Mus musculus: one gene and its partner. The protein of the gene in region 2 purifies or fractionates together with the protein of the main gene of each other region. This does not show direct contact. Links are inferred from orthologs where the notes say so. Each region holds a gene or a part of one and is shown on either strand. Other genes may lie near its edges.

Region 1 (4,547 bases), on a different chromosome or scaffold from region 2:
CAGTGCCTGATGGACCGTACATGCTGGAGAAACCCATGCTAAACACACAAACTGAAATTAGCAATCAGAACCAAGGAAAGAGTACAGAAAGGTACCATCTGAGGCCCTCCTTCACCCCACCTTCTCCCCAAACCTCAAGCTTGCCCACTCACCTCCAAACTTCACTGTCCCCCAGTTCCAGCCCTTCACACACAGATCCTTCTCCATTAGCTCAAGGCGATAGTGAGTTTTGAAGAAGTCAGAGAGTTTCTCAAACTCCTGTAAATCAAACGGAGAAAATGCAGATCCAGTTAAACCTCTGGGTCTCAACACAACTAACAGGTCCTGAGAGTCTCTAGCTCAGGTCACCAATGTATCTTCCTCAGGAACTTCAGCTAACTGAGTATACCAACTCCAAAACTGTTTCAAAACAATTTCCCTTTGTTAGTGGAGACTGTTTCTAGAACCCAGATGCCTTCTGCCCTACTCTTCAAGGATGTCCTTCTTCCAAGCCTCTTTCCTTCCCTTAACCTTTGTGCTTAAAACCTTTTAAGTGCTAGAGACCTGATGGCCCAGCAGTTAAGAGTACTTGTTCTTGCCAGAAGACCTTGGAGTCCTTCTCAGCGCCCCACAGTGGTTCACACCTGTCTGTAACTCTAGTTCCAGCTGATCCAATGCCCTCCTCTGAGCTTTGTGGGCACCGGGCATGCACATGGTGCACAAGCTAGCAAAGCCTCATACAGATAAAATAAATACTTTTTAACGAATGAAAATTATTTTTTAAGACTTATTTATGCCAGACAGTGGTGGCACACACCTTTAATCCCAGCACTTGGAAGGCAGAGGCAGGTGGATTTCTGAGTTTGAGGCCAGCCTGGTCTACAGAGTGAGTTCCAGGACAGCCAGAGCTACACAGAGAAACCCTGTCAAAAATAAATAAATAAATAAATAAATAAAATTATTTATTTTATATATGAGTACGCTGAAGCTGTCTTCAGACACACCAGAAGAGGGCATCAGATCCCATTACAGATGGTTGTGAACCACCATGTGGTTGCTGGGAATTGAACTCATGATCTCTGGAAGAGCAGTCAGTGCTCTTAACCACTGAGCCATCTCTCCAGACCCTGAAAATATTTTTTAACAATAACCACAAAAACTTTTTTTCTGGGCCTCTGGCTAAGAGTAGTAAAGAAACTTAAATTCCCAGATACATGCATCACCTGAGTTTCTAAACTTTGTGTAGGTGATCTTTTGATGAAAGTGAATATTAAAACCAAGTAACTCAAAAGCAGCTCAAAATGGAAAAGCAAAATCCTAGAGCACCAAGCTAAGATGCTGAGCCAGGACAGAGGGAGCAAGTGGAAACCATGGTATAAGTTAAGATGGTAGAAAACCTCCTGGAGTCCAGGTACACGACACGTGTACTGAATACACAACACTGTTTTTTTTGTTTGTTTGTTTTGTTCAATAGTCTCCAACAGCCTTGCTTCGAGGAACCCAAATGAGCAGTAACATGATTATCAGAGAAACGCCAACTGTCTCTAGAAGATTAAAAATAAAAAAAGACAAGGCAGTTACAAAGAAAGTGGGTCACAGAACAAGATCGCTCACCGATTCGCGGAAGCCATCGTACTTGTAGACATGCCCATTCTTTGTGAGCAGTTTAAGCCCATGGCCTAATGCTACCCGACGCCAGATGCCTTCTGTCAACTCCCCAGCCTGGATGTTGTCCACTTTGCCCGTCTTGCTGTTCTTAAAGATGATACCCTGACGGCTCAATCGAAGCCTCCCATCATTCTGCCCAAAATACAGACCCAAAATCAGAACAGGGTAGTGTGTAGTGGATCCTTTCTACCCCTTACCCATGGGATGCAGGATGGCCAGAGTATCAATTGAAAAGCGGTCGTGGTGAAATCAAGTTAAAAGACACAACAGACATTAAGTCTAGACTGCAAGCTTGGCTCTGGCATCAGAAACCCTGTAAGGGCCCCAGTTTCCTGGTTTTCTAATACAACTCAACAAACTCAACATCTTGCAACTCTTTGAGACTTTGCTCACGTTTTCGCTTGGGGGACACACTGATACACTGTTTCCAAAAAAGTAGTCAGAGTTAAGCTTTTCGTTCATAGATTCGAACTCTTTCCCCCTCTCTGCCTTTCTTTTGCCCAAGCCATTCTCACCATGGACCCTTTCACCTCCTGGAAGATGTCGTTGAACTCCAATGTCTCTGCCATGTTCACCTGCCCGTGGTGGCCTGAGCACACAGCCCTAGGCTGCACCAGAGAAAACGAACCCTTCTCTGGATGCTGTGCCCCAATTCCTGGTTAGTTGTGTAGATGTCCAGCAGGGTGGGAATCTGAATTCGGGAAGGAGACTGATAAGCAAGAAACAACGCCACCTTACTCCGCTCAGCCATGTACCTGGTATGTCTCAAGTTCTTTGCTGCCTGGGGATCTTACTGACCCGTTCTGCAGGGCTCCTGAGGCCAAGGCCCAGGACCCTAGGTGCAGAACCAGGCCTATAGTGGCGCTTACACCCCAACCCGACACCCTCTCGGTACGTTCCACGGACAGGCACGGCAACAATCGGCGGAACCTGAGACCCGCTCAGAGAGCGCACCTCAACTCCGCTCAGAGGGTAGTGTCCTGATCGCAGAGACCCCACCACCCCGGGGCCCCGCGTGAATCTACGTTTCTCCCCCTTCTTTTAAAATGGATTCGCCCATTGCCCGCGAATTTGAACGCGGATCGATCCATTCCGATCGTCCCGCGGGGGAGCGGGGCCCATGCACACCAGGGGCCCAGGGATCGCGACCACCCACCTCTAAGAGCTGCAGCCTCGCGACGGCACAGTGAGGGCGGTGGGCGCAGGGGGACGCAGGGGAGGGGGTAGGGATGCGGGGGAAGGGATGCCGGGGAAGCTTTTCCCGCGTGCGCAGCCCCGCGTCCCGCCACCGGAAGTCGCGCACGGACCATAGAGAGGAAGACTTGGCTAGAACGGCATCATCCGGGCCGACCAACGGGTACATTCGCCTAGAGCGTCGGCACTCCCCCTGGTCGGCTAAAGCGAGAGGCTTGCTATGGAATCCCACGCGGCTGAATTCTTGACTAGAAAACGGGAACACTCTTTAGAAAGTTACAAGCTGCTCTTCAAAGACTAGATTCCGAAGGGAAATTATGCGGTTTTATTAGGTGTTCAGGTTTGTATGTTTGTTGGAATCATGCACGCCCCTCCCTCCTGTGAAATAATCTGGGAAGGAGTCTGTTGAACAAGAAAAATACAGAGGTGTAGCCCCACTAGCTGCAAAGGAGATGCGGGTGTCGGCGATTGTGCTTGCTTTCCAGCTGTACCCTGGCAAGTAGATCAGATCCTTTCTGCAGTGAGTTCACCTACCCCCAACACTATCCTGTCCATATCCCTAATTTGTGGGTTCTCAGGAAGAGCCTAGCAGATGGCTGCATTAAATTCAAGTGGTGGTGTCGGATTTACCTTTGAGCTAGAACTTACTTGAAATCACATCAGCCTACGTTGGCAGAAGCCCGGATGGCCTCACATAGCACCGGAGTGCATCTTGCAAAATCTGAAGCCAGGTCTGACAGAGATGCTTGAGTTTATCTCATTTTACAGATGAGAAAAATGAGACCACAAAAGATTTGCGACTGGGTGTCAGTCCATTACCATCAAAACTGGAACCTAGAACACAGACTCTTTAACATCAGCCTTTTATAATCATGAGGGTTCAGGGTTTAGAGTGATTGCTAGCATATGTCCTACACAAAGACAGGATAAGCCCACAGTTTCCCTGAAATATCACTGCACTGACTTGCTAACTCAGTCCTGGGATATGATATAGATAAAAATGTGTTTTGTCATTCGGTGCTTGTGGCTTTAACCACTATCATTGCTAGCACTATTTAGCTAAGTCAAACTGGGCTTAAGACATAATGAAAACCTATTAATGCAGCACGTTTCTAGGATCTGACAAAACTGTTGAAGATCGTTAAAATAGCCCAGCCTCTTAGGAGCACATACCCTAACAAAAGATTTTAATAACTTCGGGGTTTAAAAAGAGAGGGAGTTCAGTAATTTCTGTGCAACTTGAAGAGTTGCAACCAACTAGAGTTAGAAATAAGCGACTTTCCGCTTTGTAGTATTACAAATCTGTAATCACAACACTCAAAGACTGGGGCAGGAGGATTGTGAATTTGAAACATGGCAACATAACAAGTTAGACAACATAATGAGATGCTGGAGGGCAGAGAGGAGGAGATGGTAAGAAATGCGTGTCTTCCTCCCAGGAGACACAGAACTGTCAAGAACCCTTTCTCCCTATTTGTGCTATTAGATAGAAATCGACAGACACTCAAGAGTGGAGTTCTTGGCTCAGGCAGATGAGCTAACTCAAGAGTGGGCAGTTACAAGGGGCTTTGGAGAATACAAAGCAGCTGGTGAGCTGGGATAGAGATGCCGCGTAAGAGAACAGAATAGAAACAGTAGACAGAGTGCAGATGAAACATAAGTCCCAGAGGGCCCTAGCCAGCTGCATCTCAGGCAATCTGGAGCCC
Region 2 (3,813 bases):
AAGTGGAAATAGGTGTTTAGCAGATTTAAGAAGTAGTAGGATAGAAGACTGGTGCTCATAGAAGGCTAAAAATAAAACACAAGGGAAATTGTGAAACGTACTTCTAGGTTAGAAAATTAAGTTGTACAGTCGAGATTTTATATAAATGACAGCACTAAATGCTATAGACAAAGCAGGCTGTAAGCTTGCATGTATTTGTCTGCCACTGCAGACATGGATAAGTACGGTCTTCACAGGTACTGAGTTATCATCCCCGTTATAGAAAGGCAATTAAGGTGATGGGTTTACTCCGTAGTGGTGGTAGAACATGTGCTTTCCAACGCGCAGGCGTCTGGGCTGTGTCCCAGCATTACAAATGGGCAAATAACAACAAAAGCATGCTGTATGTCTGTAACTCTCAATTAGTGTTGAAGAATTCTTTTAAAGCTATTTCATGTTTTGTTAAATTGCTAGTAAAAAGGCTATATATCCTAGGGTTGGTAAAATCCTGTAAAAGTCTGTTCTTCTAACTAATGGTTTCTTTTTATCAGTTAGTCATCTCTGTATTAGCCCTGTTTCCTTTTTGCTTTTGTTGCTAAGACAGTTTGAGCTAAGTTTTCTTCTTAAGTGTAATGAGACTTCTTAGCATAGTTTTGCCCCATGTACATGACTTTTATGAAACTCCAGCTCATTTGTGTCATTTACAAAATCATTACTAACCCTTCTGTCCAAACAGGAAGAAGATAAAAATTAACAGAGTTGTAAGTTCTGCAAAAGAGACTGAGGCACCTCTATACCAAGTCTTTATTCATCTAGTATGTCCTATCTAACCTGAATAGAACTGGGTTAACTAAAAGTACACAGAGCAAAAAGCAGACTGGAGGGACTGGAGAGATGACTCAGTGACTAAGGCACTTGCTGAGACCAGTCTCAGTAAGCAAGTGGATGACAATAAGGGAAGACACTGATGTCTGCCGCTGGCCTGCACATGTGACGTGTGCATGCTCACCTGTACACGAGGACATGCACACAGACACTTATCACCACACAATGCAAATACATGTCAAAATAAATAAATAAATAATAAATAAATCAGAGGACTGCAAAATGACAGACCACCACACATGTAATAGGAATAGGGATAGTATATAGATTTTCTCAGGAAAAATTAAAAGGCTGAAAAGACAGGATTCTGACTGCCTGACTTTCTCTGGTGAATACTGTCCTAGTTTCTAGAATCAAGTGTAGTTTTCTAAATACTGCCTCCAAATTGACTCTCGTAGTATTGCTCAGCCTGACGCACCTATGGGACTTAGTGAGACACACTTAACATCGGCCAGAGGCACAAGTCACTTGGGAATAGAACATTTATGCCTCCCAGAACTGATGACAATGCATAGAGGCTGAAAGGAGATACAGTAAATAAATCATTAAATCAGTTTGGAGGTGAGCTCAAAACTATATGTTAGATCAAGGATCCTTCAATGCAGTCAATTTTAATATGTAGATGGTGGCAGTGTGTGGGTTACTGTAAGCTGCTCAACACAATTACTCTATAGTTATCTAAGTTAGGACAGGCCTGCTTCCAAATTTACCTGATGAGAGATGGAAGGCTGCTGGATGGGCCCCTGCATTCTAGGGTTTGGTAAACCCACAGGTGCTGGCCTCCGTTGCACCTGTTGCCTCTGAGCCATTACCTGTTGCTGAATATGCTGGAGTCGTAACTGAGCTAGGCTGATCTGTGTTGGGAACTTGGATAACTGGTTGGAAGGTAAACCACCTGGTGGCTGTGAACTCTGCTCCACGACAGGATTCTGCTTAGGCATTTGTGGCTGGCTCTCTTTATCCTCGATTACTAAAGAACCTAATTAAAGAAAAGAGAACAAGATAAAAATGTTTGGTAATTGGTGAAATACCACATATTATATAGCTACTGAGTTGAACTTTAATTGCCGAAGAATTTTGGACACAGGATCCTATAAACTATTAAAAATGGAGGAGTCCCAATGAGGTTTTTATTTATATTCTATAAAAACTTAACTTCTAAGAATAAGAATTCATTTATAAATAATAAGACTTTCAAGAACAGCCCTCTTCCAGCCCGTGCTTTGTATGTCTATGTAATTTTTTTTAAGTAGGGTAGATCAAAGTGCTTGATTCTAGTTCTGGCTATATATTTTGATAAGCAAATGACCACCTTTATGTCTCATGTTGGCCTGCTGGGGTGGTTGGGTGGGGGTCCTCTATCACCTAGTCTTCCCTGGTTCTTTTTTGTTCTTCCTTTGTATGGATGACATTCGTCTACGCCTGTGTCTTCCTTTCCCATAGTAAGCTGTGAGAAAAGCACTGGCTCCTGCAGCTGCTCCCTTTCTCACACACAATGTAGTCTTGAGGGTGAAGAGCAGTCATGTTTGATGACTCTAAAAGAAATCCAGGCACCAAGGTGCCATCAAGGAAATGCTGGCTGTGGGGAAATGTCTAGGGGGCTTCTGAGCTTTTGCTTCCCATCACTTCCCTGGGAGAAACTTTAAGAGCAAAGAGAATCCTTCCATACACGTAGCAGCACAGCAAGAGAGCTGAGTGTTCCTTTCGACTGCACTGCTTACCAAGATTATGTACTTCCTAATGTTGCCAAGATGCTATTCTCTGACTCAATGAGTCCTGATATTTAAGACGGAGTACTTCTCTGTATGTTATCCTTCAACTACTTACAGACACACTCCCTATCTGTACATTCACACAATTTATAACCTGACCAGGATAAGAAAAGACCTAAAACCCAAAACAAATTGAAGGGAAGAAAAAAGAAAAATCTTCTATTCGTAAGATAAAGCAGTTGAGCAACAGGGGCTTGAGCAATGGTTTTAAAAATTGTTGTCAGCCTTGTGACATGGTGACAGTGCTGGCCCCTACAAAGCTACTACGGCTTGCAAAGTAAGAAGTTCAATATAAAAGGCAAGATGGGGAAAAGAAAGTCACATAATAACATGATTTTATGTTGGGTAGGTTGACTACATAGTCAAGGTAGGCTGCCCTGAACCACAGGAGACCTTTCTTGTCTTACCCCACTCTATCCCCACTGCACAAAGCGTAACTTGGGGCTAGAGAAATAGCTGAGTGGTTAAGAGCACTTGCTGTTCTTTTGGAAGACCCAAGTTCTGTTTCTAGTACCCTTGTTAGGCAGATCACAACCACCCTGCAACTCCAGCTACAGCAATCAAATGCCCTTTTCTGGACTCTGCAGGCACCAGTATACGGATGCACACACGAACACATAGGCAGAAGGCTGTTCACTAGCTGCATGGGAAGTGTAACACACACACACACCCCCCAAGCATCAAAGCCCACACATCACATACAGTTAGAGGAAACAGACTCTGATAGAGACAGAGGTAACAATACAAATAGGATTCTTGGGGTTGCGCGAGATTGCTTAGCAGCTGCTCTTCCATTCCCAGCACTCATATGGCAGGCAGGCAGCTCACAGCCCTCTGTAATTCCAGCAGGATCTGGTGCCCTATTTTTGACTCTGTGGGCACTGCACATACATGGTGCACAAACATACATTCAGGAAGATTCCCATACATACTAAAAAACAAAAATGCAAGCACAAACAGGATTCTATGAGGAGAAGAACTCCTAAATCCCTAACTTAGGTACCCCGTAAGCAAATGTATTTTCATATCATCTCAAAACAAGTACTATACATTCATGCATTTGTGTACCATATGCATATAATTGATGACACACTGTTTTCCCAGTGAGTATAAACAAGATAATGAATAGCAATGTTATGTTCAGTAACATGTTATGACCAAAACAGTCATGTAGGGA

The links.
Region 1: the proteins of Trim24 (region 2) and Ssrp1 purify together in Homo sapiens (affinity purification with mass spectrometry; 3 studies listed by BioGRID and IntAct, with this or other methods). This does not show direct contact. The link is inferred for Mus musculus from reciprocal best matches to the Homo sapiens genes TRIM24 and SSRP1.

Annotation. Positions count from the first base shown.
Region 1 is NC_000068.7:85,035,585-85,040,131, reverse strand, and holds the start of Ssrp1 (FACT complex subunit SSRP1), read right to left. Parts: upstream 3,013-4,547; 5' UTR 2,804-3,012; intron 2,682-2,803; exon of another isoform or gene 2,602-2,681; intron 2,357-2,601; exon of another isoform or gene 2,339-2,356; 5' UTR 2,217-2,338; coding exon 2,163-2,216; intron 1,780-2,162; coding exon 1,594-1,779; intron 259-1,593; coding exon 153-258; intron 1-152. UniProt on the Homo sapiens protein: Component of the FACT complex, a general chromatin factor that acts to reorganize nucleosomes. The FACT complex is involved in multiple processes that require DNA as a template such as mRNA elongation, DNA replication and DNA repair.
Region 2 is NC_000072.6:37,943,551-37,947,363, reverse strand, and holds part of Trim24 (transcription intermediary factor 1-alpha), read right to left. Parts: intron 1,844-3,813; coding exon 1,575-1,843; intron 1-1,574. UniProt on the Homo sapiens protein: Transcriptional coactivator that interacts with numerous nuclear receptors and coactivators and modulates the transcription of target genes.